Linked DNA regions of Ovis aries. The protein of the gene in region 2 interacts with the protein of the main gene of each other region in a pairwise test. Links are inferred from orthologs where the notes say so. Each region holds a gene or a part of one and is shown on either strand. Other genes may lie near its edges.

What was found.
Region 1: the proteins of MIPOL1 (region 2) and SCNM1 interact in binary tests that used the Homo sapiens proteins (3 or more experiments, as listed by UniProt). The two-hybrid records come from large-scale screens. The link is inferred for Ovis aries from reciprocal best matches to the Homo sapiens genes MIPOL1 and SCNM1.
Region 3: the proteins of MIPOL1 (region 2) and CCT3 interact in binary tests that used the Homo sapiens proteins (3 or more experiments, as listed by UniProt). The two-hybrid records come from large-scale screens. The link is inferred for Ovis aries from reciprocal best matches to the Homo sapiens genes MIPOL1 and CCT3.

Annotation. Positions count from the first base shown.
Region 1 is NC_056054.1:101,064,045-101,067,795, forward strand, and holds SCNM1 (sodium channel modifier 1), read left to right. Parts: upstream 1-1,065; 5' UTR 1,066-1,185; coding exon 1,186-1,287; intron 1,288-1,461; exon of another isoform or gene 1,462-1,498; coding exon 1,499-1,569; intron 1,570-1,808; coding exon 1,809-1,897; intron 1,898-1,995; coding exon 1,996-2,093; intron 2,094-2,207; coding exon 2,208-2,296; intron 2,297-2,697; coding exon 2,698-2,892; intron 2,893-3,525; coding exon 3,526-3,625; 3' UTR 3,626-3,680; downstream 3,681-3,751. Other genes in the region: LYSMD1 (lysM and putative peptidoglycan-binding domain-containing protein 1), read right to left, coding at 105-284. UniProt on the Homo sapiens protein: As a component of the minor spliceosome, involved in the splicing of U12-type introns in pre-mRNAs. Plays a role in the regulation of primary cilia length and Hedgehog signaling.
Region 2 is NC_056071.1:45,410,062-45,413,712, forward strand, and holds part of MIPOL1 (mirror-image polydactyly gene 1 protein), read left to right. Parts: intron 1-2,829; coding exon 2,830-3,060; intron 3,061-3,651.
Region 3 is NC_056054.1:106,308,980-106,312,630, reverse strand, and holds part of CCT3 (T-complex protein 1 subunit gamma), read left to right. Parts: intron 1-269; coding exon 270-387; intron 388-1,827; coding exon 1,828-2,014; intron 2,015-2,641; coding exon 2,642-2,791; intron 2,792-3,651. UniProt on the Homo sapiens protein: Component of the chaperonin-containing T-complex (TRiC), a molecular chaperone complex that assists the folding of actin, tubulin and other proteins upon ATP hydrolysis.

The DNA.
Region 1 (3,751 bases), on a different chromosome or scaffold from region 2:
CAATTAAGAAAATTTCAGGGGAAGTTGCCTAGAGGGCCATACATTCTCATGAGGAATAAACCTCTTCTAATTGGGTGTCTACGTCCCAATCCTGGAAGACTCACCGTCACCCCGTATTTGAGTGCTAGTCCAGCCAGGGTGTCTCCGGGCGCCAACTGATGCTCCAGGCGTCTTTCCCTCACCGGGGAGCAGGCAGACTGCACCAGGCTTCCATAAGAACGAGCCCGGCTCCCTTGAAGCAGTCCTGACCCCCCGAGGGGGGCCTGTCTAGAGGGAGAAGCCATCTCCTCACCCTGCGGACACTGAGGTTACAACCCCGGGAGGCCCGGCCAAGTGACCGATAATGACGGGCTCGCGGTCCGAGAATGGGTATCTTAGAGGATTCCTCTCTTTCAGTCTTCTCTCTTAAGTCTCCCCGCCTCCCCCGGCGATACGCGACTTGTCAGCCGTAGCTTCTCCTCCCTGCAAGTCCCCTTCCCACAAATCTGTACTCCGACTATTCAGTCCCTACCTGAGTCTTTCCTTAGCACCCCTCCGACTTTCGACTCCCCACAACAACTCGCTACGTTGACCCCTGACCTTTGAACTCTAGCAGCCTCCTTAACACGCAGCTCAATTTGCCCCTACGTCTGGCAGCCCGACCTCCAGGCTCCCCAATACCCCGACTCCGCCCGGTCCCGGGGTTAGCCCTCTAGGGTCAGGAACAGATCAGGCCCACCCTATATGGGCTGTGGTTGCAGGCGAAGGGCGTGACAATAGCCAGAGTCTGTAGCACTCTTTCTCCGTCAGAGATCCTCAAAGGTATTCTCCAAACCAAATCAGTCACACCCTCAAATTCGGGCTCCTCATCTAGGTTCTTGTCATTCCAAACGCCTCGAATCTGCCAAGACGAAAGGGCCTGGATCCAGCCCGGCGGCAAGCTCTTTGAAAAAAGACTTCATTTCCCAAAAGGCCCCGCGCCGGTGAGGTCGCAGGGCACCATAAGAAATACAGTCCCCCTCGGCCGGCTAGAAGCTGGCTTCCGGGATCGCGCAGTGCATTCGTGGAAGCACACCCCCGGAAGTCAGGGGGCCAGCAGGAAAGAGACCGGAAGGAACGGAGACGACCCACTCCTGCTACGGTGGCCTGAAAGGCGTGGCGAAGGCGGCTGGATAGAGTTTTTGATTTCTGGGGCTCACAGTCTTGATGTCTTTCAAGAGGGAAGGAGACGATTGGAGTCAGCTCAATGTGCTCAAAGTATGCGGAGAGGAGTGCTTCCGAAGCAGCTTCACCTGCCCTCTGAAAGCTGTAAAGGAGCTGTTTTGTTGCTGTGGCAACAACTGGGGGGCGGAGTGGAGGGAACCAAAAGACTAGAGGTGGTGGTGACCCCTTTTTCACCGCAGATGTGTGTTCTCCCATGGTCTTTATTCCCTTTCAGTCCTCGTCTCTATCATTTCCCTTTTATCCTTCCCTCATATCCAGCTGATCCCGTGCGGACTTCTTCCCCTGTCTCCTGCAGAAACGAAGGGTCGGGGACCTGCTTGCCAGCTACATCCCAGAGGATGAGGCGCTGATGCTACGGGATGGACGGTGAGAGCGAGGAGTGGATCAAGTTTAAGGGTTTTGAAGTTAGAGACTCAAGAACTTTTGTTATTAAGGAGGAGAGCGGGAGTATCTAGGATTCTTTGGCTGGGAGTGAGTAACAGGGATGTGGGTGATGGAGACTGGGAGACTTGGGAGTTGGGCTTTGGAAATGAATGCTTGGACGGGGTGGGACCTATGACCAAGACTCCACTCCCCAGGGACCAATTATCTTTCTTACTCCCCAGCTTTGCTTGTGCCATCTGTCCCCACCGACCCGTCCTGGACACTCTGGCCATGCTGACTGCCCACCGTGCAGGCAAAAAACATCTGTCCAGTAAGTTTGGGAAAAGACAGACAATAGAGTAAACCCTTAAAATCTCTTCAGACCACCCTTGGTGCTCTGCTTTTAATCCTCTTCCCCTTTCTCCTCAGGCCTGCAGCTTTTCTATGGCAAGAAGCCAGCAGGAAAGGGCACAGAGCAGAATCCAAGACAGCATAATGAACTCAGGAGAGAAGAGACCACAGCAGAGGTAATCAGAGAGGGGAAGTTGTGTTCCAGGCAGGACTGTGCTGCACACCTTAGGCTAAAGGACTTTGGCTTATTTCTGGCTCTGAAGGCTCTGACTCTGCTGTCTCCATGCCAGGCTCCTCTCTTAACCCAGACTCGACTTATCACTCAGAGTGCTCTGCACAGAGCTCCTCACTATAACAGTTGCTGCCGCCGGAAGTACAGGTTAGTGGGATGGGAAAGCCAGAGGTAGGGAGGGACAAGAGATAGATAGCTCTAAAGTGATTATTTTCCTAATTGTAATCTGAGACATACTAAGTGTTCTGGGGGTGTTAACTTGTATTTCAGGAAAAAGATTTTTGTAACTAAAAAAGTGCTTTGTAATCCTATTTGATTAAAAATTAGTGTATTTTAAGGGTTCTACAAAATCATAAGATAAAAAAAAAACCTTAAAAGATTTAGACTTTCCTAAATTTACTGGATTCCAGAATTCTTTTTATGCAGAACACTTACTAATATCTTGAGGAACACAAAATTGGGAAGCACTCCTATAAGGAGTTGGGAGTCACAGGAGATTAGGCCCTTTCCTTTACTGCTTTTACAGACTTCGATTCTTCTCTGTCCAGACCGGAAGCCCCTCGTCCCTCTGTCTCTCGTCCCCCTTTGCCACCCGCAGAGGCTGAACCCCAAGGTGGGAAGATCAGTAGAGAACCTGAGCCTGAGGCTGGCTCACAGACCAAGGAGTCAGCCACTGTCTCATCCCCCGCACCTATGAGCCCCACAAGAAGACGGGCCCTGGATCATTACCTCACCCTTCGAAGGTGAGTATGCAGAATTTTTCCTCAGTTTTTCCCTTTTATCTCTGACCCTCCTTGTTTCAGAGCTTCTCAAGTGTTTTTACTTATCCCCCGGGGCTTCCCAGGTGGCACAGTGGTAAAGAAGACATCTGCCAATGCAGGAGATGCAGGTTCGATTTCTGGATCAGGAAGATCCCCTGGAGGAGGGCATGGCAACCCACTCCAGTATTCTTACCTGGAGAATCCTGGCGGGCTACATTCCATAGGGTCACAGAGTCAGTTCCTCTTGAAGCAACTTAGCACACGTGCATGCATGCACAAAGACTCCTTACATATGTAACTTTTTTTTCAAATAGTTCAGGAAATTAACTACAGTTAGATAGAAAGAACTATTGGGGCTTCCCAGGAGGCTCAGCAGTAAAGAATCCTATAGTGCACAAGAGGCAGGTTCGACCCGAGTTGGGAAGATTCCCAACTGGAGAAGGAAATGGCAACCCATTCCAGTATTCTTGCCTGGGAAATCCCATGGACAGAGGAGCCTGGCAGGCTACAGTCCATGGGGTCACAGAGTTGGACATGACAGAGCACTCGCACACATGCTTTTCTTAATTTAATAAACTTCCTTTCCTGACCAGTTCTATTTTCTGGTGTTTCCAGCTCTGGATGGATCCCAGATGGACGAGGTCGATGGGTAAAAGATGAAAATGTTGAGTTTGACTCTGATGAGGAGGAACCCCCTGATCTCCCCTTGGACTGACATCCTCGTTCCCCATTCATTTCACAAATAAACTACAGCCGGCGCTGGGAGCCCAGCTTCTCCTGAGTCTGGTTCCTTGTTTCAGGATTTCAGATCTGTTCATTCTCAGCCCAGCCAATTCTTCTC
Region 2 (3,651 bases):
CATTAAGAACTTGTATTCATCAAAAGACAACATTAAGAGAATGAAATATCACTGTACCCCTATTAAAATGGCCACCGTTTAAAGAACTGGCAATCCCACTCTAAGGCTGCACGTAGAGCCACTCGAACTCCCTTGTGATGGGAGTGTACATCGGTGTGACCACTTTGGGAAACTTTGCAGGATCTGCTAAATCTGGACATGCATATATCCTAAGGAGAAATTCTGTTTCAGGTATGAGTGCTCACGTCACTTATATCTCAGTAAACCTGGAAACAAAAACCAAGCAAAAAAGAAGCAAGTGCGTAGGTCCATCGAAAGATACATATGAGAATTTATTCATGGCAGCAACCTTGGAGTGGTGAAATAAGTTACTGTATATTTATGTAACAGAATACTTAATAGAAAAAAAAGGGGGGGGAGAACTACATGCAACAGCAGGATGGATCTCATAAGCTTTATGTTAGGTAAAATACGTCAAACAAAAAGTTCAAAAACAAGCAATATTAATCTTGATAGAGGTTGAATTAGTGATTACCTTTGGGAAGGGGATCAACTGTAAGGACTGGAGTCTTCTGTATTTGTTCTGTATTTTGTTCTTTCAGTTCAGTTCAGTTCAGTCTCTCAGTCGTGTCCGACTCTTTGTGACCCCATGAAAGGCAGCACGCCAGGCCTCCCTGTCCATCACCAACTCCCGGAGTTCACTCAGACTCGCGTACATCGGAGTCCGTGATGCCATCCAGCCATCTCATCCTCTGTCCTCCCCTTCTCCTCCTGCCTCCAATCCCTCCCAGCATCAGAGTCTTTTCCAGTGAGTCAACTCTTCGCATGAGGTGGCCAAAGTACTGGAGTTTCAGCTTTAGCATCATTCCTTCCAGAGAAATCCTAGGGTTGATCTCCTTCAGAATGGACTGGTTGGATCTCCTTACAGTCCAAGGGACTCTCAAGAGTCTTCTCCAACACCACAGTTCAAAAGCATTAATCCTTCGGCGCTCAGCCTTCTTCACAGTCCAACTCTCACATCCATCCATGACCACTGGAAAACCATAGCCTTGACTAGACGGACCTTAGTCGGCGAAGTAATGTCTCTGCTTTGGAATATACTGTCTAGGTTGCTCATAACTTTCCTTCCAAGGAGTAAGTGTCTTTTAATTTCATGGCTGCAGTCACCATCTGCAGTGATTTTGAAGACCCCAAAAATAAAGTCTGACACTTTCCCTGTCTATTTCCTATGAAGTGATGGGACCGGATGCCATGATGTTCGTTTTCTGAATGACATTTAAAAGTAAAGAACATAGACTTTTTAGAGGTTTTGTTTTGTTTTTAGTTTCTTTCTTGGGTCTTTCAAGTAAACAAAAAGAGTGGATTGAAAGAAATTGGAAGTTGGAAGAATGTAGATGGTATGAGAGGACAGAGAAAGAATAGGAAAATGAGCAAGAGACAGAAGTCTTTAAGTATATAGATTGGTAGAAAGAAGAATGAAATAAGAGTTAGATACATAAATAAGGAGGTGAAAAAGCACAAAGGAAGATACTTTCTTTGCACTCCGCCAATCTGGCACCATACACCATGTTTATTTCATACATAATAATCAGTCACTTGACCACAGTGTAGCAGCATTCTCTCTTCCAGATTAAGTTGAATTCTGGAATGATTTCTTTTGGTGTGCTAACGGTCCCTGCTTCAGGTCCATCTTATTTCCTTGTGACACCTTCTCCAAAGTGAACACCTTGGAGAGGTGTATAGGTTGCTAAAGCAAGAAGAAATTTATAATTACTTTAGTTTGAAAAGTTTTAGATAAAGTACTAGGCTAGATATTCGGCCAGAGTTAAAGTTCCCTGACAAGCTTTCTGCAGCTTTAAGGATTAGATTACTTTCTTTCAACATTATCAATCTGTATTATATAGTTGGGTTGTTTTACTTCGAGTCTCCCATCGACATTTCTTTTGTATGCATATACTGAAATGATTTTATTTAATAAAAAAAGAACATCTCCTGTGTGGATTTTAAATTTCCCCTTATTAAATATTTATATTTTCAAAATGTCTTTATTTAATTGAGTGAGGTGCTTGGTGCCATTTCAAAATAACCTCAGGTGGTAGGTGTAATGACATATCAAAGATTTGACCTTTAGCATTTTAGGATTCTATTTGTCTGCATTTTCTTCTGCATTCATTTGGTCTTAATTTATATGCTGTTTCTCTGTATGACTTAATGAGTGGGTGTATTTGGAGTAAGATTCATTAACAAAAAGAAAATATATCTGAATACATATTATTTCTGTGCGGTCTGACTAGTAATTTTAACCTCATTCATATCTCAACTGTGACAAGTAGAAAATGCTGTGTATAAGGCTTCTCAGTATTTGTACAAACCTCATTCATTCTCATTAAGTGTTCAGCTGAATTAGACCCTGGATCTACTAAACTGATGCCCATTCTCTTACTTCTCACTTCTTTGCAGTCAGCTTATTACATTCTTTTATTTACCTAGAGATACTTTATTTTCCAATTCTTTGCTATTCCTTTTAAAGAAAATTGAATGTAATATTTACACTGATATAATTAAATTAACATCTTACAGCATCTTTTTGTATGCTTTGGTAGCAAAGATAATCATTTGTCTGGGTAGCTTTCAGCTTAGAAGCAGAGAAATGGATAATTATCAAGTATAATATTGTGATATAAAAATTACTTTCATTTATCCATTTAAGTATGCCTTTATTGATTTTTAGAAATGGATCTTTCTAACTGGAGATTTTTGTTTAATAGATTATTGGTTTGTAAGCCTACATATTTATGTTTAAATTTTTTTATTTTTATATTTTCTCAGTTTACACAAATCTTTATCCCAAGAAGAAAATTTGAAGGATCAGTTTAATCTTACACTTAGTACCTATGAAGAAGCTTTAAAAAATAGAGAGAACATTGTTTCCATCACTCAACAACAAAATGAGGAACTGGCTACCCAACTGCAGCAAGCTCTGACAGATCGAGCAAACATGGAATTAGAGCTTCAGCGTGCTGTAGAGGCCTCCCGAACGGCCAATGATAAAATTCAGAAGTAAGTAAAATGATCTTGTATTATTTCAAAAGTATGAAACAAAACAAGGCAAAAGCACTTTGTTTTGGCAACTAAGGAATATGTTATTCATGTTATTATTAGTTTCAGACAAAAGTGGATTGAGCCAAATGAACTTTTTTAGACTACCTGTCATATTTAAATTTGGGGTCAAAAAGTCATTTACTTGGAAATTGTGGTTACTGTTTAGGGCAAACAACTTTTATTTTTGTTTGTTTTTAACTTTCTTTAACTTAGTAATTGATCTTCATGAGTTCATGGAGGCCATACGATAAAAATCATTTCATAGGTAATACATGAAGTTATTAGCAAAGGGAAGAGATGGGCAAGTTACCAACTTTATTCATTTAGCATCAAAGTAATCCTGCCTGAGCTGAAATCTATGATCTTGCAGTTTGAGACCTCTAGGTACATAGAATCCAGTACAGTGAAATTCATTTTCTTGTGTTGTTCCTCTGAAGAATTCAATACAGCTTTCACAGTGCATGATATTTATTTTAAATAATCTTTGCATTTTTATTCAGATTAAAATAAAGCTGCATAATCAGTCAGTCTTTAATGATAGCTAGCAAA
Region 3 (3,651 bases), on a different chromosome or scaffold from region 2:
GTCTTTTGGAAAATATTTACTGTTTAAGAAACTGATAACATATGTGGTTAGATCACAGAATTAAGTAAACCGTAGGATCAATCTTTAGTCATTTAAAATGTATCTGATAATACTTTATTTCAGAGTTGGCTTGTGTAGAGTACAAAATTTGAAACAGTGTTGGCATACCTTTGGGGCAGACCTGCTTTAGAAAAGAAGAGCAGGTATTTTAGAAGCTTTGCTATCCAGGTAACTTTTTAAGATGTTATGGTATATATGTCTTTTCTCAGCTGGGGAGATGCTGTCTGTGGCTGAGCACTTCCTGGAGCAGCAGATGCACCCAACAGTGGTGATCAGTGCTTACCGCAAGGCATTGGATGATATGATCAGCACCCTTAAGAAAATAAGGTATTGGAGGTGGGGACCAGAAGCGGGTGGTGTCAACCAGGGAAGGCCTGGAAGACTGATCTGCTCTTAGGTGGTAAAGGAAGGCCGGGCACATCACCAGTAGTTTGTCTTATTTTGCAGGGAGAAAGACGGGAGCAAGATGAAGGGAAGGATAAGGGGAATAAAAGGTTTTAGAAAACAGCCAAGGATCCAAAGGAGCTAGGTTCAGTTCTTTAAAACATGTTTTGGTTACATGCAGTGTGCTGGTTTCCATGTTAGACACTGCCTTGGGGAATGTAGAGTAAGTGAAGTAGAGCTTCACTCCAAAGTTTTCGATTGTAGTAGGAGAAACAAGGAGTTAGATAACTGATTATTGAGGATTTGATATTAAAATATCCTACCATCGTGTATGATTATAACTGTTCCAGTCAGTACTCTCTGTAATACAAAGTGTTATGTAGGATAATAGTCAGCTGTATTCATTAAAATGAAAAGGATGGTACTGAAAATGCTGTTTGAATCCAGTCTAGTTATCACAGAACTTGCTGTTGGTCTGTGTTTGCTGAGTGCTATAAGGTATAATAAAAAGAATATAAAAATGTGTGACTTCTACTTAAGGGAATGTCAGTTAAATGAGAAAATGATACAAAATGCAAAACTTTTTTTATTAAAACAGTTGTTTAAAAAATAAAACCTGTAATACTCATATCTTGGGTTGTTGGATACGCAAGTACCCAGCAGTGTGGAGAGCTTTGTATTGTACTGCCTGCTATTAAGAGCCAAAGTCCTTGATAACTAGCAGTCTTAGAGAATGAGGTGTTTGATTGAAGGTAGTTTTATGAAGTAAGCTTTGTAAGAACATAGAGATACAAAGGATTTATTGAATATTCGGAGCTGAATCATTAACATTTTTCTTTTTATCAAGCAATAACTTTTGGAGCTATTGCTTTTTTCTCTAAAATACATGATTCAACAACTATTTAATGATTGCTTATTATGTGTCTTACACTGTTAATAAAAGAGATTTCAGCAGTATGTGAAAATTTGGACAAGATGGTATCCAAGGTCTATTAACTTTCAGGATTTTTTAGTTAAGGGATGAAGTTTCAAAGATGAGGTGTGTCTTGACTCAAGTTGTTAAAGTTATATAGAGTGTATATGGTTGGAGTAGAAAGTAAAGAGAATATTGTACTGTAAGCTCAGGTAAATGTGGAGAGTTGTCAGAGAAGGGAGCAGATTTTTCAGGGATTTGAGACACCTTCCAGGGATGGGTTAATTGTAAGCTTTCTAAAAAGCAGAAGATGGACAAGGTTACTTCTTGATAACACTTTAGTTCCTATGAAGGAACAAATTTCCCCTTCTGCCTGTTGGCCCCCTGTTACAGCCGTCAAGATGTAGATGAGGGATTTCTTAAATATCCAAGATCCCCCTAACCATATTACCCATTTTTCTTTTCTCCAGTATCCCTGTCGACACCAGTAACCGAGATACGATGCTGAACATCATCAACAGCTCCATCACTACCAAAGTAATCAGTCGGTGGTCTTCTTTGGCTTGCAACATTGCCCTGGATGCTGTCAAAACTGTACAGTTTGAGGAGAATGGCCGGAAAGAGATTGACATCAAGAAATACGCAAGGGTAGAAAAGGTAAACTCTCCAAGTGTGTACTTTGGAATCAAATTATTTCCTAGCATCACACCTTTATTATTAGAACCAGGAAGAAGAGTATTTACTATCTGGAAAACAAAAATCTTGAAAAAGAGGGTGCTAAAGAGGTATCTGAAATAATTCTGTTAGCTTCACTGCTGTCTCTACCCACGGTTTACAGGGGCAAGGGAAAGGCTTTTTTTTTTTTTTTTTTGGTCTGTATTTGTGTGCATATCAGACACTAGGTCAGGAGATAAGGGCCCCACACCATAGCACTAATAAAGCTTTCTCCATCTAAGATTTAAAAGTAGCATTAATAACTTCTGACCAGTAGAGGGAGCCCTATACCTAAAATTCGTGGAAATCTCTTTGAAGAGGTAGTGATATGTGCCCCTTTAAATCTTTGTGAAGCACTGAACTTGTTTCAGCCAACCTTCAAATTGTGTGTCATGGTCTAAGATTGATGTGCTTCCCAGAGAGAGAGAAAGGTGATTTGCAGCTAGTTGTTTTTGAGGTTTGTGGAAAATTTAGAAGTCTGAAATGGTGGTTATTTGGGAAAGATGAATGTCTGAAAAGGAAGTTGAGAAGTGTCTCCTGGTTGTGGATTAAAGTAATTCTTTTGCTCAGATACCTGGGGGCATCATTGAAGACTCATGTGTTTTACGTGGAGTCATGATCAACAAGGATGTGACCCATCCACGAATGCGACGCTATATCAAGAACCCTCGCATTGTGCTGCTGGATTCTTCTCTGGAATACAAGAAAGGAGAGAGCCAGGTAAGGGCACTGGCCCTATTCTGTAAAGTTGATGTAAGACTCTGTTACTATACCAAGGAGATCAGAAGTACTTAGTACATGCCTACTGTGTGACCTTCACATGTAGTCTCTGATTCACATGTAGTCTCTGATTCTTACAACAACCCTTAAGAGCAAGTGATACCGACTTTCATTTTACAGATGAGGGATCTGTACTCAGAAAAGTTAGGTTAATTGCTTCAGGAACATACCTTGTATTGGCCAAATCAGGGTTTGAACCCAGCTCTGGCTTCAATTCCAGAGTATCATGCAACCTTTTCTAATGCATTAGTAGAACATGGAGTAGGAGTTAATTGAGCTTTGAAGTGCTAAAAATTTCCAAAGGACAGGAAACTCACAAGGCTCCATCACACTTAAATAAAACAAAGTAATTGAAGCTTATCAAACAGTGATTGGGAACAAGAATCATTATTAGTTGGGAGAATTAAGACCCTGAGTTACCTTGCATGCTGACAAGTCAAAGGAAACGTTGAACTAAGTGGCTATAGACTTAGCCAAACTCTCCACTAATGCACTGTGACTTTCCTTCCAGTAAATAACTAAATGGAGTTAAACTAGATGTAGATGATTGTTGGAGCTAAACTGGTGTACAGAGGTGTTGGATCATGGTTTATTCCAGCTCTTGCTTTCTGGGATACGTGAGAGGGCGGACAGGGGTGAGGGGGGCGGGTGTGTGTTACTTGCTCGGTCGTGTCCAGCTTTTTGCAATCCCCTGGACTGTAGCCTGTTGGGCTCCTCTGTTCATGGGATTCTCCAGGCGAGACAGGAGTATGTTGCCATTTCCTTCTATACCAGAGGGAGTGTGGTAGTAGCTAAAGAGC